Linked DNA regions of Mus musculus. The protein of the gene in region 2 binds, or shares a complex with, the protein of the main gene of each other region. Links are inferred from orthologs where the notes say so. Each region holds a gene or a part of one and is shown on either strand. Other genes may lie near its edges.

The links.
Region 1: Lamtor1 (region 2) and Lamtor2 share a complex: the UniProt entries of both Homo sapiens proteins name them as parts of the ragulator complex. The link is inferred for Mus musculus from reciprocal best matches to the Homo sapiens genes LAMTOR1 and LAMTOR2.

Annotation. Positions count from the first base shown.
Region 1 is NC_000069.6:88,548,662-88,556,415, reverse strand, and holds Lamtor2 (ragulator complex protein LAMTOR2), read left to right. Parts: upstream 1-3,464; 5' UTR 3,465-3,552; coding exon 3,553-3,620; exon of another isoform or gene 3,621-3,686; intron 3,687-3,898; coding exon 3,899-4,061; coding exon of another isoform or gene 4,062-4,082; exon of another isoform or gene 4,083-4,186; intron 4,187-5,630; coding exon 5,631-5,720; intron 5,721-6,411; coding exon 6,412-6,468; 3' UTR 6,469-6,597; downstream 6,598-7,754. Other genes in the region: Ubqln4 (ubiquilin-4), read right to left, coding at 424-626, 927-1,078, 2,504-2,611. UniProt on the Homo sapiens protein: As part of the Ragulator complex it is involved in amino acid sensing and activation of mTORC1, a signaling complex promoting cell growth in response to growth factors, energy levels, and amino acids.
Region 2 is NC_000073.6:101,906,969-101,914,170, forward strand, and holds the end of Lamtor1 (ragulator complex protein LAMTOR1), read left to right. Parts: intron 1-2,695; coding exon 2,696-2,841; intron 2,842-3,060; coding exon 3,061-3,138; intron 3,139-3,451; coding exon 3,452-3,578; intron 3,579-4,304; coding exon 4,305-4,397; 3' UTR 4,398-4,935; downstream 4,936-7,202. Other genes in the region: Lrrc51 (leucine-rich repeat-containing protein 51), read right to left, coding at 6,103-6,244, 6,467-6,615. UniProt on the Homo sapiens protein: Key component of the Ragulator complex, a multiprotein complex involved in amino acid sensing and activation of mTORC1, a signaling complex promoting cell growth in response to growth factors, energy levels, and amino acids.

The DNA.
Region 1 (7,754 bases), on a different chromosome or scaffold from region 2:
TTTTGTTCCTGAACTTGAGTCCATCTCTGAAATCATGGAAACCATCATAAGGGCTGGTGAGATGGCTCAGTGGGTACGAGCACCCGACTGCTCTTCCAAAGGTCCAGAGTTCAAATCCCAGCAACCACATGGTGGCTCACAACCATCTGTAAGGAGATCTGACTCCCTCTTCTGGAGTGTCTGAAGACAGCTACAGTGTACTTACATATAATAAATAAATAAATCTTTAAAAAAAAAAAAAAAAACCATCATAAACCGATCATTCATTCCCCACCCCAGCTTGGCTTAAGTTCCAACATCTGGAAGAGTGACTACGGTCATGGGACTAGGACTAGGGATCAGGGACCATTCTTCTTCTTTATCTTTGTGCACCCCACTCCCCTGGCCAATACAAAATTATGCTCTCCCCCGCTAAAGGCTTACAGAGGATCGATGCAGTAGCACTTGAGGGCCCCTCTGCAGCCACTGGAGAGGGCCCCCCTCCACTGCCAGCATCTGAAGTTGTATTGCCAGAGCTGCAGGGCTGGACAGGGGCGGCGGCAGGTGAGGCAGGCGTGGTGGAGGGTGCAGAGGCAGAGTCAGGAGTGGATGGAGGAGAAGCAGCAGCAGTCACTGGATCTTGAGCCCTGAGGACAAAGAGTAGGGAAACCTGGCTGGAGTGTGCACAAGTGACAAGGTGGCCTTGGACTGACAGCTCAAGCCACCTCCTAAGCAGCCTTGTTCCACCCTTACCCCAGGCTAGCAGGATGCTGGGGAGAGGGATGGTATCAGTTATCAACAGTCTCTAAGGCAACCTGGGAGTACTGACAGGCTCCCCCAGAGGTAAGACCTTATCCATCTGTGCCAGGCCTGGCTGCTGAACAGGTGAGAAAGAATGGGAGGTGAGGTCACAATCAGGAGCAAGGGCAGCTCCTGTCTGTACTTACTTCTGAGGGGTTTTGATGACTAGGTGGACTGTGAGCCCATCCTTGATGCCGTGCTGGCTCAGGGTGTCCCCATCCTTGAGGATCTTGCCTGCGAAGATCAGGACCAGCTGATCCTGCTGAGCCTTAAACCTCCGGGAGATCTCCTCCTTGAACTGTGGTCAAGAGGCAGAGATCACTGCAGAGGCCAACTGCGCCCCGCTGCAAGACTTGACCCTCAGTTCTGCCCCTCTAGCTACAAGAATCCATTCAATTAGTTCCATGACACAGTATCCCAACCCTGGAAAGCCCCTGCTGCTATCCACAACAGCAGCTTCTGTCCCACCACCCAATTCTCTGAAAGTGATACCTCACAGAGGCATGGGCAGCCCTCCCCATCCTAAATCCTTCAACTAGCCTTGGGCTCAGGCTGTCTCTCTTCAGCCTTCTCTCTGCTTTTCAGTCCCAGCTTCCTCATCACTATAACAGATAATCTAGAGTATTATTGAGATCTATTGAGGAATCTAGTGTGTTAGTTACCATCTCTACTTAATTAAATTAATTAAATTTAATTAATTAATTAATTAATTAAGAGACAGGGTCTCTGCATGTAGCTCTTGCTGTCCTGGAACTTTCTATGTAGACCTCGAACTCAGATAGATCCACCTGCTTCTACCTCCCCAGGGCTGGGAATTTAAAGATAAGGATCAGAGAAGAGGTAATGTATCCGGGGATATAGGAACTCAGGTCTGGACATCAATGTCTTCATCAGACACATTCTCAATAAGAGCTGTTTTATAATTCAGCTTTTCCCAGGGGACTTAAAATTCTCTAATGAGAGAGCAGCAGTGGTACCAACGGCTACACTGGGGCGAGTTAAATTTTCTAGATTCTATCAGCTCCTCCAAAACACAACACAACACAACACATATTCTAACTATAAACAGTGCACTTGCTAAGCAAAAGATCCCTCTCTTCCAACCAGATGGCCTATTCTAAGCCCCGCCTATGTGCAATTCTGGAGCAGCTTCAAGCAGTGGGGAACACAGGCAATACTCCCTCACTCATTCTATATTATTTTGTTGAGCACCTACTGCGCTCAGCAAATCCTGTAGAGCAGAAAACTGAACTACACAACCGTTTCGATTTGCGACAAGGAGGCTCTGTGGAGAGAGAGAGAGAGGGAGAGAGAGAGAGAGAGGGCACCACCACCACGCGACACTCCCGGGAGAGCATAGCCGCAGCTCGCTCGGGCCGCACGGTGCCTTAGCGCCTGGAACCTCTACCAGTGACCCTGGAGCACACTCTCCTCAAGCCTAGGCTCCAAATGGAGCCCGCAAGCAAGGTGTCCCTTCCTCAAGCTCCCCCACCACGCCCCCAGCCCGGGTAGCGCGGCCAAACCGGCCCCTACCCGCGCCACGCTCCCCGGACTAGCCCTGGCAGGGCGCCCCCTACCCGCTTCTCCCGCCTGTATGCCCCTGGATTCCGCCCCGGCCGGGGGCCCGTCCCCGGCGCCAGGCCGACCCCGAGGTCTCCCTCTCTGCTCTGACCCCCTCGGTGCGCTGCTCCCGCCCTCCTGTCTCCTCCCAGCCAGATACTACCTCCTTGACCGAGGCTTGATCGCAGATCACGATCTCCTCCTTGTCCTTGGGGGTCTTGACGGTGACCCGAATCTGGGGCCTCGTCTCAGCCCCACTCGGCTCCGCCATGCCGCCGCCCGGCCGCCCGCCAGCCCGTCCGGCTCCTCCTCCTCCTCCTCCCGGCCCGCCCGGCCCGGCCCGACTCCGGGGCCTCCAACTCCCCCTCCCGCCCCTCCCCAAGGCTCCGCCGCCCACTCCGGACAGCCGCAGCCACAGCGCCCCGGGCGGCCTGGGGGAGCACTGCAGCTGGGGCGGCCCAGGCCCGAGCAGGGTGCGCAGCTGGCCCGGGCCGGACAGCGCGGAGGGCGGGAGATTCAGGGCCGCCTGCGGCTCCCTCCTGTTCGGACAAAGGACTTTCGTTGTCGCCGTCTTATCTCCGTTCCCTGGGGTCACTTGGTTTTCTTGAGAGGCCTGGGTTCGTTCCTGGTTCAGGACGTCCTTAAGACCTCTGCGGATTCGAGCAGTCGTGGCCTCCGGGGAACCGCCCCGAGGGAGCCATTAAGGACGGTTTCAGAGACCTGGAGTTTGCCTACGTGGCTTCTCTGAGCCTTGGGAGTAAAAGAGCAAGACCCCACAGAATTGTGACTAGCGTACAATATTGCTTTAAAAAATGGTCAAGGATGTGCCTAACAGATAGATTTATTATTAGATTGCGATTGACCAGTAGGCACGAAGGCGTCCTTCGCGTGGAAGATGTTAAAAGTATTTCCACCGTTGCCACTGTCCTTGCGCTCCCGCTCTCCCCCCCCCCAACTCCACAACCACATGGTCCCACTGGAACGCTGAACTATGGTTCCCAGAATTCCTTGAGCGATCACATGAAACTACGATTCCCAGAGGCCCTCGCGCGGGGCGGGAATTGGGCCAGAGCCTCAGTAGATGGGCCCGGTGACTACAACTCCCAGGCGCCTCGTAGCTGGGCTCCTGGGCCACCGGAAGCGACTGAGGGAGAGCAAGAGGCTGCGACTGTAGGGGTGTGTTGGTGCAGGTCAGGGTTAAGAGACGCAGGCATGCTGCGTCCCAAGGCTTTGACGCAGGTGCTAAGCCAAGCCAACACTGGAGGAGTCCAGAGCACCCTGTGAGTGAACAAGAACCCAAGCAGCGAGCGCTGGAATGGGGCGGCGCGCGGCTGTCTGCAGTAGGGGTAGGGAAGAGCCCTACGCCGGGAGGTGGCTAATGTTGCAAGCTGCAGCTTCGGAAACCCTGCTTGAGGGCTTCCTCGGAAAGGGAAATGGACAGTTGATTAGCGTGTTCCTGGATTCTTGCTTCCTAAAAGCGCCAGTAGCTGGAATTGGGATAGGAACTCAGACCTTTCACTCTTCCTGAGTTTGTTGATATCCTTCCCATTCTTGCCAGGCTGCTGAATAATGAGGGATCGCTGCTGGCCTACTCCGGTTATGGGGACACAGATGCCCGGGTCACTGCGGCCATCGCCAGTAACATCTGGGCCGCGTATGATAGGAACGGGAACCAAGCGTTTAATGAAGACAGTCTCAAATTTATCCTGATGGACTGCATGGTATGGAGTAAAGTAGGCTGACTTCGAACTTGCAATGATTATCCTGCTTCTGCCACCTCAACCCTGAGATTGCAGGTGTGCACCATCGCACCTTGCCAAATAAAACATAGATATTAAAAAAGGAAGTGAGAGTACGGTGCTGGCCTATGTGAGGGTCCATCTCAGTGAAAAGGAGACATTTGTTAAAAGATCCGAAGGACGATAGGAAAGGGGAAGAGAATTAAGCCATACAGCAATCATTTGGGGAAATATTTCTAACAGTGCTTGCTATGGTGGCTTATGCCTCTAGTTCAGTACACGAGAGACTGAGGCAGGCTCTCTTCGAGTATTTGTTTTCTTTCTTTCTTTTTCTTTTTTTGTTTTTCGAGACAGGGCTTCTCTGTGTAGTCCTGGCTGTCCTGGAACTCACTCTATAGAATCAGGCTGAACTCTGAAATCTGCTAGCTTCTGCCTCCCAAGTCCTGGGACTAAAGGTGTACACCACCACCGAGCAGACTTTGCAAGTATTTCTGACAACAGCAATTGCAAAGGGCCGAGGGCGGAGTGAGGCTTGGACAAAGATCAGTAAAGATGGAGCATCACAGAATGGGAAAAGGTTGTCGGGAGAAAGGGCTAAAGTCCTCTGAAGAGTGGCAGTGTGCAGAACTGAAAAAGGTGTTTGCAGTGGGGAAGGCCCCTTGGGAAGCTCTTCACTGTCATGCTGGCAGCCCATTCTTTACACCCACTCTCATTCACACTGGGTACTGAGTCCAGGGCTGGTGTCACTGCAGCCTAGCTAAGCTCTAAGAAATGCTTTTTAAGGGACAGATGTGGAGCTCAGTGGTAGAGCAGTTGCCTAGAGTGTTTGGGATTCTAGAACCCATTCCAAGAAACACAGTTTTTATTTTTGAGTCAGAGGCTAGTATACACACTGGAGCAAGTTCTGTGAAACATCACTTCTCTCACATAGATGTGCCATGACATTTTTATTGTTATTTTCAAATGTTGACCCACCCTAATTGATCCCCATTTTGAAAAGTTACACCATAGGAAAAGAAGAGACATAAGTTGGGTTGTGTGTGTGTGGGGGGGAGTTGTTTTTACCTTTTTAAGGTTTGTTTTATTCTGTATGTATGAGTTGCTTTGCCCAGGTGGTATATATGTGCCCCATGTGCATGCATGATGCCCCCAAGGAGGCTGAAAGAAGGCATTGGAGCCCCTGAACTGCTGTTATAGATGATTGTGAGCACAGTGTTGGTGTTGGGATTCGAACTCAAGCCTACTGCCAGAGCAGCATACGAGTTGGGTTCCTGGTCCTGACCTGCTGAGACAGTTCTCGGCATTAGAGAAGAGAACCCCAAGTTCTGGAAGACTTGGTTTCCCAGGATAGCTTGGTTAGCACATGGCTCAGCTGAGGCTGGAATCCAGTTTCAGACCCCCATGTCTTAAATGCTGGGCAGAGCTCCTAGCTGAACTTCCTGCTCTGCTAAGCTTGGGAGACAATGTCACTAGGACCAGAGGAACCCTGGGGAAGGCAGGAACTAAGGATGTCAAGCAGAATGCCCCAAAGTATCATGTCCTTCCCACCAGGAGGGCCGTGTAGCCATTACGAGGGTGGCCAACCTTCTGCTATGTATGTATGCCAAGGAGACCGTAGGCTTCGGAATGCTCAAGGCTAAGGTGAGTATATTCCTCTGTTATAAACTTTCTGGGCTGTAACATCTATGCATGCCCTTGCTCTGAATAAAGGACATGGAGACTTTAATTAGGTTTATTATGAGCTTTGGGCACTATAGCTGGGCAGATTCTCAACTATTCTAACCCAACCATATTGGCTTGGCCTATGTCCATGACCCATTACCTGTCCATCTTAGTCATGTCCTGGTACCTGCTTCCTCATCTTTGTCCAGCTGGCAACTCCTCTCCCAGAATTCCTATCTCTTCCTGGAAGTCCCACCTCCTACTTCCTGCCTTTGCTTTTTAATAAGCTGATCAAAAGGTGAGCGAGAGTGTTTACAAAATATGTAGCCAAATGAAACCAAATGAACCAAAGTCCAGTCTGCATTAAACTCTGCTGGCACAGAAATCGGCATTTGAATAATAATACAAAGATGATCTTTACATAGGGCGCAATATCATCATCCCAGCACTGATCCAGCCTTAGTTCCTGTTCACTGTGTTCCTTACATGTCCCTCCCCTCTCTGGAGTTCTCATAGCTCCTCACTCCATGTCTAGGATGGGCTAAAGAGCAGTGGGGGTGGGCTGGGGGGGGAGTTGGCTGCTAAGTGTGGCGTGGGGAGCCAGCGTGGTTCAGGGATCCGTCTAAGCATAAGCGATGCATGGACTGACTGTGCTCCTGCCTCCTTGCAGGCCCAGGCCCTGGTGCAGTACCTGGAGGAACCCCTCACCCAAGTAGCAGCATCATAACAGCGTGATGGAGGCTGGAGTAGAAAAGGGATGATGATCTGGAGGGAGGGGCGGGGCCCTAGAAACGCCATATCGGGCGAGGTACAGGAAGGGGGGGTTGCTTTTTTCTGAATAAATTTTCAACTCTTACCTGTGTCTCACCTGCTTTCTTGGGAGGAAAGTGTGGAGTGGTTTCCTCGGGAGGATTCCCCTCTCCTGCAAAGGTGGGCTCTCTCATTCCCCATCACCAAATCTCTCAGTGGTTCTTGGCAGGGCTGCCCAGTGCCCTTGGCTTCTCCAGTGCTGTGTCTCATCATACTCCTAATTGCTTTTTTTTTCCATTAATTTATATGTTTATTCTATTTACATTGCAAAAAGCTCCCTTCCCATCCTCCCAGAATTGCTTTTCTTTAAACAATTTGTTTTTTGGTTTTTGTGAGACAGGATTTCTCTGTATAACCCTGGCTGTCCTGGAATTCACTTTGTAGACCAGGCTGGCCTCCAACTCAGAAATCCGTCTGCCTCTGCCTCCCAAGTGCTGGGATTAAAGGTATGTGCCACTACACCCGTGTGAAAAAATTGTTTAGGTTATTTTATGTACATGAGTGTTTTGACTGTTTGTGTGTCTGCACTTGTGCCTGTAAAGGGCATCAGATATCCCTGAAACCAGAGTTAGCAGGTGGCTGTGAGAGAGCTATGCTGAGAACCTAACCAGGGTCTTCTGCAAGAGCAGCGGTGCCCTTAGCTGCTGAGCTCACTCAACCCTCAGAGCAGAATCTCACCCGCCCGTTTTGCAGCACCTGGGACTGATCTAAAGGAGCAAATGCCTGTTCTTGCTGGACACAGAAAATAGAGGTCACCCTTTCTAATTTAAGGAGTGCTCCTGCTCCTTTCCCTACCTTTTCATGATCCTCTCTGCAGCATTTGTTTTAATTTAAAAAAAAAAAAATCGTGTGTGAGCACAGCAGACTCCTCTGCATTGCCTTTACTTATTTACTGTTTGCGTACATGACGCGTGGATAGGTGTGTCCCACATACAAGCATGGCAGTCAGAAGATTGACCCCCAGAAGGCCTCAAGGTCTTCATCTCAGATCCTGCACCCATATTCACCGCATCCAGCTCTTTCTGCCCTTGTCTCTGAGATCCGTCCACGAAGGTAGTAAATCTGTTTATTGTATGTTAGGAAGGGACCCATCTGGGCAGGTGGCGTCCCAGCTCCACCTGTGTGAGAAATGCTGCCCCTCCCTGGCCTGGGGCTGTTAAGGAGGGGCCGGATGCTGCGTGCTGGTACAGCTCCCAAAACTCT
Region 2 (7,202 bases):
TAAGTGGTGTCGCTGTACTTGGGAAGGTGTTCTTCCCCCCAGTGAACCCTGCAGTTCAGGAGAATGTGATTTGTGTCGGGGTGAGTGCTTCCTGAACCTCATTCATTGCTTGACCTGAGTTTGACATGCCTGTGGCCGTAACTTTCACTTCATTCTGTCATGCTAAAGGCTAGAACTGCAAAAATAGGAACCCACCACAAAACAACAGAAAAGGAAGAAGAAGGCAGATATCCCTGCCTAACAGCAGAGTTATGGAGGGAAAGCTAAAATTCCACCTTCCTCTTTACAGATTCTCATTTCTGGCTGGTTTGGTTTGTTTTTAAAAAGGTCTCCTGAAGCCCAGACTGGCTGCAGACCTGCCATACAGTTGAGGATGACCTTGAATTTCTGGTTCTGCTTCTCCCTGAGTGCTGGGATCCTAGGCATATGTCACTCACTATGTCCAGTTTTATGCAGTCGTAGAGATCAAACCCCAGGGTCATATCCCCAGTCCCTCTTTAGGTAGGCCCTCTTCAGCATTGCCTGTCCCTGTATTAGAAGTGTAAGAATTACCTTACACCTAAGAGAGTGAGTCCCAGTACTTAGGAGGCTGACACAGAACTGCCTCAAGTTTGTGGTCTGTCTGGCTACACAGTAAGTTCAGGGCCTGTCTGTCTCAAAAAGAAAAATGTATAAGCAATAGGTCTTCAGAGGCCGCCTACGATTGCTTCATTTGACTCCTGCTAGTTACCTGTAAAATGTTTAAAGGTGAGGGAAAAGTTAGGAGGATTGAAGCAATTTAGCTAATGTTAGAAGTACTCTAGCCACGCCGGGCGTGGTGGCGCACGCCTTTAATCCCAGCACTCGGGAAGCAGAGGCAGGTGGATTTCTGAGTTTGAGGCCAGCCTGGTCTACAAAGTGAGTTCCAGGACAGCCAGGGCTACACAGAGAAACCCTGTTTCGAAAAACAAAAAACAAAAACAACAAAAAAAGTACTCTAGTCATGGTGTTCTAAGAACAAGACACATACCTTATATACTGGGACAGGCTCTGAGGTAGTGGTGGGCAGACACCTTAGGTCTGCTAAAGTCAATAATGAAATCTTGACTCAGGTTGTATTGGCTTAGGAAGCAAACCTTGATGTAAGAAACCTACCCCATGTATCACTCATTCTGTGGGTGTCAGGTGATGTCATTAACTTTTTCCCGGTGGGGTTGGGGATGACACGGCCCTATCCTGAAGGAATATTTGTCAGGAGCAGTGCTGGGGAAAGGACCGGCAGCAGCCGTGGGGGACTCCTTGTGACCACCAGCTTCCCTTAGAGACCCTTTCACCTTTGGTAAACCTTTTATCTGTCTAGCCTATTGATACTGAGGAAGGAGAAAGATAGATTGTCCAGGAACCTGAGGCAGAAGACCGTAGATGTTTCCTTCTGTCGTGGTGAACTGGGTCGAGTGGTTTGAGGACATTTGGGCAATGTAGTTCTGAGGAGGAAGAGCAAAGTGGAAAGGCTGAGCCTGTCTGGGGTGGGGCAGGCCAGGCAGGAGGAAGTAGCCATCATAGGGAGAGTTGTGAGCAGGAGAGCTGGCTCCTGTAACTGGGAAGCTGGTGGGAACTGAGACAGCCCAGGAGGACTGCTGAGACTGGCTGGCGGCCACTGGAAGTTGATGGGTCAGCACTGGCCAGCATTCCTCTCCTTCTACACACTATACTCCTTCAGAAGTTGCCATGTCCCGAGCCTTCTAGGGCCCAAATAGACTTGAATCAGGTCTGCTTATCCAGATTGCAGCTGACACAGCCAGCAGGGGTCTCTACTGATGGACTTAAGGCAGTAGATTAGAACAAGGTCTGAACCAGGACAAGGAAAGTCCAATGTTAGGAGATGTAGTTTTGGTTTAATTCTAAATTGGTTCTGGTGTTTGAGGTTGTCTGTGGAGGTTAGTAAGCAGGGTTGCTGGAGACTGGGCTGACTGGGTCAGGGAGAGTGTAGTTTGTCTGGGAGGAAGAGCTCCACTGTTCTCTCAGGTCAGCAAATCAGGAGGTAGAGGCCCGACCCTGGCGAGTACCAGGCCAGCTGGGTTCTATAGTACCCTCGCAGCCTGGGGAACATGGGAGGACTGTGCTTTGTGTGCATGTGTGTACAAAGATCCTGGAGAGAAAGGGGGGGGAGAGAGGACATTGGTGACTGTATCTCGGCTGTGGGCTTGGAGTTTCTGCACTAAGATAAAGCGAGGAATGGCAGCGTACAACTGGCCTGCTTCCTTGCAGTCCAGGGACTTATCTGGCCATGCTAGGGCCTTATGTTGTGGGTAGACATCTTTGCTGGGCAGTACTTTCCCCGGGGAACCAGGAAGGCTGTTCTTGGGCTTTTGACTTGCATTGATTTCTCCTCTAGAACCTTACTTTGATATTTTCCCGCCTTCTCCAACTTTCAGTCAGTTCCAATAGCCTTTGTCCAGAAGGGGTTGACCAGTTACTGAGGCTCCAGGAATGTCAGTGTTGCTTTGCTCCCCTCTGAATGTTTTTTAGGTTCTCTAGGTTCATCCTAGACCACCAACTGGGCCAGTCTGAGAGTGAATGTTTTCTGACTCTGCATCTACCTGGACACTTGGAGTCATGCTCATAAAAGTAGTTTTAGTATGTCAGAACCTTTGAAATGAAAGGAAGATTAGACTTAAGGCCCTGGGGCTGACTTTTCTCTACTGGCCCCTCCTAGGATCGGGAGGAGAGGAAGCTGCTGCTGGACCCCAGTAGCACCCCTACCAAAGCCCTCAATGGAGCCGAGCCCAACTACCATAGCCTACCTTCAGCTCGCACAGATGAGCAGGCCCTGCTTTCCTCCATCCTTGCCAAGACAGCTAGGTGAGTGTCACAGGACCAGGCTGGGACACAGGCAGCCAAGTTTGGAACATAGAGGATGGGACAAGGTCATTAGGGAGCGATGTCACTGGGTTCTGCCTTGTTACGGTGGGCTGGCTGAGTACTAGTGTCAGAAGGCCTTGGGATTCGCACCTAGCACTGCTTCTCGTCTGTGACCATCTAAAGCACCTGTCATGTCTTCTCTGTCTCTCCTTTTCAAAGCAACATCATTGATGTGTCTGCCGCAGACTCCCAGGGCATGGAACAGCATGAGTACATGGACCGGGCAAGGCAGTACAGGTAAGCATGGGCCAGCTGCCTAGACATCCTTCTCTAGCTCGGGAGTTTGCTCTCCAGTCCAGGCTCTTCATTTGGGTGGAGCCCAGAAAACTAGCTACAGATCACTTAAGTGCCTCAGGCATTCAAGTCGGCCCAGTTTGCCCAATGTGTTTGATCCAGGGTGATCAGGTCAAAGGAGTACAGCCAGAGTGAGTTTGGAATGAACTGTACCCTGTCACCATGATCCCTTGGCCTGAGGGAGTGAGGCTGGCCTGGGCAGGACAGGGCAAGCTTTGGCCTAATTGTCCTTCCCTGTCTCCTCCCTCTTGGCCAGTACCCGCTTGGCTGTGCTTAGCAGCAGTCTGACCCATTGGAAGAAGCTGCCACCGTTGCCATCTCTCACCAGCCAGCCCCACCAAGTGCTGGCCAGTGAGCCTATCCCCTTCTCTGACTTGCAGCAGGTGAGCACTCCTGGCTGGTCCCCTACCACTTCCCACATGGCTTCCCAGGGGTGGAGGGTGGGTGGGTGGGAAGCCTAGTATTGGTGCACCCAGTTTATTCCCACTTTGGTCTTGGTTTTCACAGTGTTCTTAGTCTCCCCCACCCCCACCTCCCCGCCCCAGTCACACACACACTGTTTATTCTCCTAGCATCTGCCCTTGCTTTTGTCTTTTTCTCTCACTTCCTTCCAGAGATAAAACAAGGGCTTTGTGCATGCAAGGCAAGTGCTCTACCAGTAAGCTACAATCTTTTTTTTTTTTAAATTTACCTATTTATTATATGTAAGTAAATTGTATCTGTCTTCAGACACACCAGAGGAGGGCATGAGATCTCATTAGAGATGGTTGTAAGCCACCATGTGGATGCTGGGAATTGAACTTAGGACCTGCGGAAGAGCAGTCAGTTCTCTTAACCGCTGAGGCATCTCTCCAGCCCTTAAGCTACAATCTTAACCTAACCTTTGGGCTTTGAGAGAAGGACTCAGTGTTATAGCCCAGGCTGGAACTGAATTGTGGCCCTTCTGATTTTGCCTCCCGAGTGGTGGGATTATAGGCAAGCAGCAGCACACCCACAGCTCCTTTGGCTTTCAGTCCACTCTTCCTTCTTTCCTTTACTGCCCCTCCCTCTGCTCACACTCTTAAGTCTCCCTCTCATGTTGTTCTTTCCCTCCCTGGCCTCTGTCTCAGGTCTCCAGGATAGCTGCGTATGCCTATAGTGCACTTTCTCAGATCCGCGTGGATGCGAAAGAAGAGCTGGTTGTACAGTTTGGGATCCCATGAAGAGAGGGGCCCTAGGACAGCTCTTCCCTCGTCTTCACCCCGTCTCCACCCCACCTCTTCTGGCCCCCAGCCTCACTGTGGCTCTCTACAGTACCTAACCTGCTACTAATCACGGAGAAGAATGTGGAGGGAAAGAACAAGGCTGGAGGCCGGAGCAAGTGAGGACTAAGCAAGGGAAGGGAGGACCGATTGCCATCGGCCTTCATGCTCTGGTTAGGGTGAGGTTGGGGCCAAGAGGACAGGGCCTGGCAGATCTTCAGTCATTGGGAAGATGGAGATACCACTGTAGGGGTGACACCGGGAGACCTAGGAGATCCCTTCCTGCCCTCTTTCTCTTGGCCTCCGATTCACTCCTGTCCCCTTCCCTGACTTGGTGCTCACAGGCACCTCACTGGGGATTATGACCAGGGTCTAGACGAGCTTGAGTCTGAATTGAGTTTGTATTTCTAGCACCCTGGGTTTTTACATGTTTGCTCTTTTTGTTTTTGTTTGTCACCCCTCGATAAAGAAAGTATATTCATTTGTGTTGCTGGTTCAACCTGCTCTGTCCTGCCCACTCTTTACTTCTGGCTGTTCAAGTCTGCAAGCAGTGCAGTGCTGCAAGCAGAAGAAAGTCGGCAGCAGCATTAAAGAGGAAGCAGGAGACAAAAGTTCAGGGTTCCCGGGTCTTAGATGATACATTGTGGGATGACCCCAGGAGGATAAGTATTCATTGTCCCTTCTCCATTGATGGTCACACTGTCAGAGCTGTTCAGACTTGACTATGAGGCAGCTGTGACCATTGGTGCCCCTGCCTCAGGAGGCTTACACATTGCCCCTAGTGGTGGGAAAGACCCTGCTCTGCTTGTCGTCTTTTCAAGAAATGATTGTCTTCTCCTGTCCCAGCAGGGCCTCACTATGGAGCCCTGGCTGCCCTCGAACTCACAGAGAGCTTGCCTCTTTCTCCTAGAGCTGGGATTAGAGTTTTATGCCCAGCTAGGAAATGAAATCTTTTTTTTTTTTAAAGTTTATTTATGAGTACACTATCTTCAGATGCACCAGAAGAGGGCATCAAGTCTCACTACAGATGGTTGTGAGCCACCATGTGGTTGCTGGGAATTGAACTCAGGACCTCTGGAAGAGCAGTCAGTGCTCTTAACCGCTGAGCCATCTCTCCAGCCCCCTAGGGAATGAAATCTTGACCAGAATCACAGCCTGAGAGTAAAACTACCCTGCTCTGCTAGAAGTAGATCACAGCTGACTGCTGTTCCTAGTCTGGACGCTGAAGGCAGCGCCACACACCTTGGTACTTATGAAGATTTCTGTGAGGCATGGTGGCTTCTTCCTGAAATACCAGCACTCAGGAGGCTGAAGCAACAGGATTGCTACAAGTTCAAGGCCACCTTGGGCCACAGAGTCAGAATCTCTTGAAAAAAAAAAGGATTTTAGAAATTGCTCATCTACTCTCATCCCACGAATACTAAAGAGTACAAAAGGGGCCCAGAGAGGACAGAAAGGTTTCCTGAATGGCAGAACCTGGCTCCTGGGTCCTAAGCCAGCAAGCAGGCTTTTGCCTTCACTGTGAAGTTTTACTAGAAGTTGCTGAGTGTAGAGGGCATCTTAACAAGGTACAGGGGACTTATAATCTGTTCAACAGCTCAAATCATTTATTGTCAAACCAAGCTGATTATCCTCAGGGCATTCGGTGTGCTGGGTCCTGCGAATCTCAGAGAACATCCTGCTTGGCCCGGACCTTCTTGGGCTTGATGTTCATGCGTTTCCAGACTTCAGCTGTGCTGCGATCGGCCCTGGTGACTCCACTGAAGTCAAACGTGGTGATACGGGGCAGGTTGCACAGCACATACTGCCTGTGAGGAAGACTTGGGCTGGGGCCAGCCCCTACAGCAGGGAATGGCAGGGAGCTTGACGATGGTTTGGGAGGACTGGGTTCATTCTGAGAGCAAGGGGCATGCTTAGAGGTCTGGTACGTCCTGGGTCCACGTGTGGCAGAAGAATGGTCTTGAATTTCTTGTCTCCTCTCCCCTTGTTCCTTAGGGAAACTCATCTGGACCTTAGATCCAGGCACTTACCTGTACCCCTTTTCTTCCTCTATGGGGTTCCCATGGAGGGTCAGGCTCCGGAGACGAGGGAGGACAGCTAGCTTATTCACCTCCCCTAGGCGATGGATGCCGTTGCCGTGAAGGTAGAGGACACTTAGGTTGAAGAATGTTGTTAGGACCTGTTAGGGTAGAAATCAAAAGTCAGGCTGGACAAAGACTGGATCTCAGCTCAGCATGGACTATCTGGCCGAGGAAGAAAAGTTTGGAGACCAGCTTGGCCTTCCTCTCCAGCTCACATAGCCATTATATGACTCTAATATGCTTTCGATACTTTTAAAAAAATACTGCAAAAAAAACAAAAAAAAAATTACTGTTTTTTTTTAGTAGGGCATGGTGCCACATGGGATAGGTGGATACATGAGTTTGAGACCAGCCTGGCCTACAAAGGGAGTTCTAGGACAGGCAAGGCTGCAAAGAGAAATCCTGTCTTTTTAAAAAAAAAAAAAGAAAACTTTTTATATGATATATGGTTATTTTGCCTACATGTATGTATGTATAGCACTTGCAGAGGCCATTGGATACCCCCTCCCCCAATGAAACTGGAGTTATGGATAATTGTGAGCCATCATGTGGGTGATGGGAACTGGAAGGGCAGCAAGTGCTCTTAACTGCTTAGTCATCTTTATGGCCCTTACTTTATGTGTATCAGTGTTTGCCTCCATGTATGTTTGTGCCCTGCATAAGAGGCTGGTGCTTGTGAGTCAGA